Linked DNA regions of Alligator mississippiensis. The protein of the gene in region 1 interacts with the protein of each later gene in a biochemical or structural test. Links are inferred from orthologs where the notes say so. Each region holds a gene or a part of one and is shown in the gene's direction. Other genes may lie near its edges.

Region 1 (3,911 bases):
AGCACCTTCTGAAAGACTGGCACAGGCAGGCAGGGGGTTTGCTTGTAGTCTGGTCTAGGTTGCAAAGGAAGAGTTTGGGGGTAGGAAGAATGGGTGTGGGGCAAGATGTGCACTGGGCATAAAAGGAAGTGCAGGGCACAAGGATGCTCCCTTTGAGAACTGGTGTTAGTCAAGGAGCCAGGGGAGAGGGCTGGGGCTGGCTCCAAGGGTGGCCAACAAGAATTTTTCCCCCAGTACTGGAGATTGCTGTGTATGTGCCCAGGCTCCTACTGGGACTCCTATCCAGAGGTTTCTGGCTGGAGGGTCTTGGCTGAGGCTCAGGCCGTTTGCTATTTTTGCGATCAAAGTAATTTCTTCTCCTGGTCAACTTGGTGCAGGCTGGGGTTTCGCACTGCGCATGCGCAGGAGCTGCTGTCTCGCCCCCGCTCCATGAGCCCTGCGAGTATTGTCTTGGCCGCGTCTTCCTCGCAGGGCATGTCGGGAGCTGAGGTCCCCGCTCCGGGCTGCGATGCAGAGCATGCCGGGAGTTATAGTCTTCCTCTCTCACCATCCTGCCGAGCGCAGAGTATGTCGGGAGTGGTAGTTCCTTCCCCGGCCTTGGGCATGTTGGGAGTTGACATCTCCCCGCCCTCCCGCAGTCTCGGGGCGGGGCATGCCGGGAGTGGTAGTCTCCATCTTTCCTAGCGCAGAGCATGTCGGGAACGACAGTTCTTTCCCGAGCCCTGGGCATGCTGGGAGTTGGCGTTCGAGAGCCCTCCCACAGGCTCGGAGCGGGGCACGCCGGGAGCCGCAGGGCATGCCGGGAGCGCCCGTGCCGGGGCGATGGCAGCGGCGGGGGGCGCGGGGCCGCTGTCGGGGGGTGCGGCGGGGCGCTCCAAGGTGGCGCCGAGCGTGGACTTCGACCACAGCTGCTCGGACAGCGTCGAGTACCTGACCCTCAACTTCGGGCCCTTCGAGACGGTGCATCGCTGGCGCCGCCTGCCGCCCTGCGACGAATTCGTGGGAGCCCGGTGCGCGCCGGGGGGGGCCGGGCGGGGGAGGGAGGGGGGGCCGGGGCCCGCGGGTAGGGCCCTCCCTGACCGCCGCTGTCTCCCCGCAGGCGCAGCAAGCACACGGTGGTGGCCTACCGCGATGCCATCTACGTCTTCGGCGGTGACAACGGGTGAGCACGGGGTTTAAACTCAGGCGACCGTCATCTGCCCGCGGCCTCATGTCGCGGGGCAGGGAGCTGATAGCCACAGCCCCCAGCTGCCCGCGGGGCAGGAATGGGGCACACTCTGCTCGCCCTCCCCAGCGGTCGGTCGGCTGGCCGTGCTTGACAGGGTCAGGGCAGGAGTGCCAAGGCTGCTGGACCCCTGAGAGTGGGCAGCGGGGGCGGGTGCAAGCATAGCCACCGCCTAGTCGCAGCTGACCCAGTTGTTGCCGCCAGCGCTGCTGTAACCAGCAGTCCCTGCCCCCCGAGAAGAGGAATAGCGTTGTCGTTGATGCCCTTTGCTACGGCAGTTATGGAGTCTGCACCCACTTGCTTGAGGCTGAAAAGAAATGCATCTGTTACAGCTTAGTTATATGCACAGCATGGCAGCGCGCCCTCGGAGCCACCGCCCAGCTTTATACACAGTGGGCCGGTCTACATGTGCATGAACGTGCTTTAGTTACTGCGCATTAAATCTGCGACCTCCACTGTGAGGTACTAGGAAAATGCATGTTAGCTAGTCTTAATGAGCAGAAACTAAATAGCATAGTTTTTCTAGTGATGCTTTAATGAACATTAAAATAGGTTAATGCGCATTTAAGTGCACATGTGGATGCACCCAGACTCATCTTAAAAGGATTTGAAAGGCCACATCTTGCAAGCTGTTGCTTCCTCTGAAGAAGCAAGGCAAGCTGTAGCTTCATTCCCTCCCCTTCGTACATACCGTCACGCCAAACGGTAGCAATTTCAAGTATCTAACAGCTCAAGCTGTTTATGGAAGATGTGGAACAAGATTCCCTGCTGCTGTTCTTCTGTAGGGCTCATTAGAGTAATTATTTTCAGATTTTAAACTGCAGAGGCTTAAGATATTTGGTCCTTTGTAAGAAATGCATTGATTTGTGTTTTCAAGATGTATTGTTCTTCACTGTAAGCTTCAAGATCCTCTTGAACAGAGCATATGTCCTCACAGGCCTTGAAGTTTCCAGAGACCTCCTGCTGTTGATGCTTGTACTCTATTTGCTATGCCTCTGCCTGCCCATGGTAGGGGGCTGTGCTTGACAGCTGTGACTGCCCTGCTCTGCCAAACAGCTGGTCAGGGATTGTTCAGGGGCAGCTGCAATGGTGAGCAGAGCTGTACCTCTGCTCCTGACAGCTGTGACAAACTTACTGATGACATGATGAGCTGCCAATCATCTGTTTGACAGAGCAGGACACCTGCGACTGTAATAGCCATCAAAGGGAACAGAGATGTAGCTCTGCTTGTGATGCCCTGTCAGGCAGTCCGTTACTCTCCTCCCTTGCCCTGAAACGGGGAGGGAGAGCAGAGCTTTCAGGGATGCTGGGAGTCTTGGGAGCATTTCTGTTGTACTACATGTGACTGCCTGTGCTTTATGGAGCACCACAAAGAAGTTTTGGTTTGAAACAGTAGCTTTGTTGTGGAGGATCTGCCATTTTTGTAGCGCTATAAACAGCCTGGATCTCTGTACACTTACTATTTGTAGTGCTATAATATCACACAAAGCACTGTAAAATAATGTGTCTGAGGCCTAACATGGGACTTGTAAATCACTACAAAAATAATGCGTCTAATCCTTGGAGCTAGAATATGCAGGTGGCAAGCTGGAACATAGAGTCTTGAGTATGTCTCCTTGCACAAATGCTTTACAATTCAGTTCTTGATTATGTAGTGATCACGTACTACATTTCCAAGAGGACTGAGCAGTCAGAGTTTTCTACACAGCTCTACTTTGTGTTTGTCCCACATACATAGCTAAGTGCTGATTACATTTTCCTACTGTATTTCATTTCAGAAAAACAATGTTGAATGACCTGTTAAGATTTGATGTGAAAGATTGCTCTTGGTGCAGGTATGAAAATGTTTTTTTGTTTGTTATTGACCGAGTTTCTGAACCTTGCATTCCTTAACAGCTGTTCAAAATGAGTTAACCAAAGTACATTTTTGCTTTGGGCTGTAGTTGTTTTATTTTCCCTGTGTTTTTGATGCTTATCTCTGTTCCAGTCCTTTTACATTAGATAAATAGGGGAGATCTGTGTAAAAGAGTCTCTTAGAGTTTTGCATCCAGCAGAGAGAGGATTTTCCTTGTGCATGGTCAGTCATAATGCTTGTTCCTGTATGATCCTCACCAGCAGTAGAGTTTGTGGCGTGTCAGGTGCAGGGCTGAAGGCAAGATTTCATGTTGGAGTGATGCTGCAATTTGCAGTGCTGCAGAAATTCTGTGACATTAGTTCATAGAACAGTACCAGAAGGCTGCTTCTTCAGAAGTGTCTATCTGACATGTAGGGGAAGGATTGCTTCTCCTTTCCTTCAGCCCCAGAACTGCCCAGGATTGGAAGAATGCAAAGATGTCTTTTAAAGGCACCTTAGCCTCATTCTTCCTGCTGAGTCGTGGTTTCTGTCCTGTCCCCTGGTATCCATACAGAACCTTGTAGAATTTATTTCAGCATTAACCTTTAAACTTTGCATGACTTCATACAGTCCCTGTCACTCAAAGTGTCTGTGGCCAGCATGTGCCATCATTTTGTCAAGCAAATTGCATTATTTACTGCACCACTGGATCTCAACCAGCCATAAGCAGTGCCTTTATCCTTGAGCATGACTGCTATTTCATGCAGAAATTTCTGTTTTAGTTATTTTCACTGGTAGTAACCTCTCATTTAGCCAGCATGTAGGTGTTTAGCTCAGCAAGCCCACTGTAAG
Region 2 (3,911 bases), on another chromosome or scaffold:
TTTTTCTTCAGTATTATGTTTATTAGACTAATCTTTTCGTCGTCCTGGCAAGGCATGGATCAAGAAACCGCGAGTTAGGAGAGGCCCCGCGCGGCGCCCGCACGTGTCCGGCGGAGAAAGCAGTGGGGCGGCCCCCCCCCCCCGGCAAGGCGGGGAGCGCCGAGCGCATGGATGAGCCAATCCGTGCGCTCGGCGCTCCGCCTCCCCGGGCAGCGCTCGCCCGGCCCGCCCCGGCCCCGCCATTTCAGACCGGGCCGCCGAGGGACGCGCAGTGTCCCGCCCCGCCCCACGCCGGGGGCCACAGCAGAGCCGGCCGCGGCCAGGGCAGAGCCGCAGGCAGGCATGTAGCGCGGCCAAGCGGGGCGCGGGGCTCGGGGCCTAGGGGGCGGCTGCCTGGGAGCGGGACCGCGGGCGGCGCTAACAGGCCCCCGGGGGGCCAAGGCCGGACAGGTGGCACCGCCCGGCACCTCCCGGCCCGGTACTGCTCCTGCATGGACCGGCGGGCAGCGCCTTGTGCAGGCACCTCCCACCCCCCGGCGCTGCGCCGGGCAGTCCACACCCCACCTCTTCTCCCCCAGCTCGCTCTCTCTCTCAGCAGCTCTTACACATTCCCCAGCTCACCCCCACCTAAGCCAGCTCCATACACCCCAGTCTTTCCCCCAGTCCAGCTTGCTCACACACCCCTCTTCCCCCTAGCCCAGCTGTCTCTTTAACACGTGTGCATGTATGCGTGTACGTGCCCGCCCCTCCTCCCCCAAGCCATCTCCCTGGCCCCCCAGGGATGAACCTGTAAGCACCTGACGAACAAAGACGCTGCCCCTCCCTGGCTCCTGTCAGCTCCTTGGCTCTTAGTGGCCTCTTAGGGTTTTCCTGAGAGTCCAGGTAAGACCCTGGATGTTGTTCCAGCAGCCTTGTAATCCTCTGCACTGAATAGGAGCCCCCAAATCAGCAGTGATATGTTGCTGCTTGCCCAGAGAACGGTGTCAAGGTGAGCTCCTGTGCTTAACTCCAAAAAAAAAAAATGTGGAGGGAGTTCTTTATAGCACTTCACTTTGGTGAACTCGCTGAAAATCTTAAAGTAACAGCCTCACTTAATCCAATTCATAAATATTTTTTCAAATCCAGGGAAACATCTCCCCCAATTCCTTAACATTTCTTTTTTTTAAAAACAGCTGATCACAACATGAGCCGGAACTTTGTATGTTTCACTCTGCAAGAACAAATGTCCAGCTGTTACCAGAATGTAATGCATGATATTAATAACTAGTTTTTAAGTTCAGCAGTAACCAATAGGTGCAAGTATTGTTGATCTAAATCTTTATGTGTATTGATTGAGAAATAGAAATAACATCCCCTTCTGGATGTGCATCTGAAAGAGAGGACAAGAGAGATGGGAAACTTCTTTTCCTTTATACCTAGTGTAAAGTGAATTGAGGGATGGCTATTAAACTAGCATTATTCTCAATGAATTGAAACAAAGTTTTGTTTTACTTACACTTGATTTCTTTTTTTCTCCTTACCAGGGCTGCTAAAAATGACAGAATATAAGCTTGTCGTTGTTGGAGCTGGTGGCGTAGGCAAGAGCGCCTTGACAATTCAGCTAATTCAGAATCATTTTGTGGATGAATATGATCCTACAATAGAGGTAGACAGTTTCATTGTAACAGCATGTACATGTTTTTATAATACAAGAGGCAGATTGATTTTTCTCTCCTGTTGGTACTGTTTTTGTGATATTTGTGAATAGGCAGTGTAGTATTCTTCTCTTCTCTCAAGTACATTGTGGGATACACTTGAAACTAGATTTGAGGCCCTAGATTTTAGTCTATTAAATATTTATTTGAGAGTTGTTTTGTTTTAGGTTGGTTTTTTTTTTAATAATTCTGTAAAACAGTACTGCCTTTTTAATTGTAAGGGAAAATACTGATGATGGCAGAAATCTCAAGTGGATCAGAGTACTTGATAAACACAATTCCCTGCACAGGATCAGAAACAACACTATAGTTGGAATGCTGTGTTTTCTTCCCTGGAGTCAAATTATGTGCATTGTGTTTTGCAAAACTGGGAATGCACGGATAAAGATTTTTTTGGCCAATACCAATGGCCAATTATTAACCAGCCATATCAACCGATACCAATCCAATAGCTGATATGCAGCCTAGCAGCATGGAGAGCAGTGCCCAGCCAGTGAGTCTGTTGTTGTGGGGGGAGAGGGCAGGATGGGGCTGCCTGGGCAGGGCAGGGGCAGAGCTGAGAGGCATGGGGGGCATGTGCCCCCCTGCATTTGTGTGCAGGGTAACGGTGGGCTGCCCACTGCAGGCTTGGAGCCAAGGGCTGTGTTGGCCTCTTCTCAGTGGGGGGCCTGGGCTGTGCTCAGGGTGGGCAGGGCAGACCAGCAGCAGCACTAGAGGGGGAAGGGGGAGGCTACAGGGTGGGCTACAGTGAATTTGGGGTGGCTGTAGCCCACACCATGTCCCTCTTCCCAGCATCACTGCTGCCTGTCCTACTCTGCCCCAAGCACAGCCCCAGCCCAGGCCTCTCGCAGGGAAGAAGCCAGCTCAGCCCCTAGCCCTGAGCCCACTGCGGGCAGCTTGCCCTTGTCCCACACACAAATCTAGGGGCACTTGCCCCCCATGCCTCCCCTGAGGTGTGCACAGCTGTGAGGAGCTGTCCTCCTCTCTGCCTCCCCATGCCCAGGCCTCTCCTGTGCTCTGCCCCAGCTGGGCAGTGCCTGCTCCATCCCAGTTGTCTCTCACTTTGGGGGCCTTGATCTGCAACCCTCCATGTCCCTTCCCCCACAGACTTACCAGCTGGACTGTGCTTTCTAAGCTCCTGGGCTGCATTCCCTGCCAATTGCACGCTGTGGCTGTGTGAGTGTGCACGGCATTTATCGGTGACGTTGTCAGCTACATCAGCCAAAAAAGCCAATAGTTGATAATGTCAATTTTCCTTTTATCAGTGCCGATCCGATATGGACCAATATATTGGTATACCTCTATGCAAAACTGCATAAAATCTGTGCCCCAAAGAGATCCCAATCTAATTTGACATGATAAAATGCAGTAGACGTAAGTGCAAGGGTAGGACTTGGTAATAGGGTTGTAAATTAAAAAAAAAAAAGATAGAGACTTGGTGGGCATAGATGAAGAGCATCTGGTTGGTAACACAGGGGCGGCCCTTCTTGTGTCATCTTTAAAAATGTAGTGTGTGAAGCTAAGAATAAAGGAAATGGATAGAAGTAGCATGGCATTTGTGACTGCTTATTCTTGCCAAAGGACCTTGTCTCTGAAGTAAGAAGTCTCCATAATAGAAACTTACGACTTAACTACCATGATTGTGCAAAATCAGAGTTTTGCTTAGATACCCAGGACTTGTATGACATGGATATTTCATATCAGAATTGAGACGTTACTAGAACTGAGAGAAGCCCAGTGGCTGTTGTTTGGTCCCTATCACTGGTAGTATCCAGCTCAGGACACTGTATTTGTTCAGAATGTTAAAATGAAACTACTTTCCAGGTGGTGGAGGGGAAGTAATCTTCCTAGAAAATGTTGCTTTTATTCTTGAAAGCTTTCAGACTAACTGCACAGGATGACCTGAACATTATTTTGTGATCCAGTAATTGGGAAAATGTTTGTGCATTGCTGTACTAAAGACCACCCCCGCTTCAGTGTTTTACCTTCATATACTATTTGATCTAGTAGTAGTCTTCCAAATGTTACTTTAGTGGATACTGTCTGAACAGGTGGAAAAAATTATATCTAATATCTATAAAATAACATGTTAGATTGTAGGACCTTCAGAACAGCGACTGTACCTTTTATATGTGTACCAAAGCACCATGCATGCTTACAACACTAAAAGCATATCCAAGCTTGTAGGCAAGGCATCATTTAATTAGAAAATTCCCT

The links.
Region 2: the proteins of LZTR1 (region 1) and KRAS form a complex in vitro, tested with the Homo sapiens proteins (2 studies listed by BioGRID, with this or other methods). The link is inferred for Alligator mississippiensis from reciprocal best matches to the Homo sapiens genes LZTR1 and KRAS.

What each region holds. Positions count from the first base shown.
Region 1 is NC_081837.1:32,892,471-32,896,381, reverse strand, and holds the start of LZTR1 (leucine-zipper-like transcriptional regulator 1), read left to right. Parts: upstream 1-807; 5' UTR 808-822; coding exon 823-1,010; intron 1,011-1,099; coding exon 1,100-1,162; intron 1,163-3,003; coding exon 3,004-3,060; intron 3,061-3,911. UniProt on the Homo sapiens protein: Substrate-specific adapter of a BCR (BTB-CUL3-RBX1) E3 ubiquitin-protein ligase complex that mediates ubiquitination of Ras (K-Ras/KRAS, N-Ras/NRAS and H-Ras/HRAS).
Region 2 is NC_081827.1:127,854,452-127,858,362, reverse strand, and holds the start of KRAS (GTPase KRas), read left to right. Parts: upstream 1-1,534; coding exon 1,535-1,645; intron 1,646-3,911. UniProt on the Homo sapiens protein: Ras proteins bind GDP/GTP and possess intrinsic GTPase activity. Plays an important role in the regulation of cell proliferation.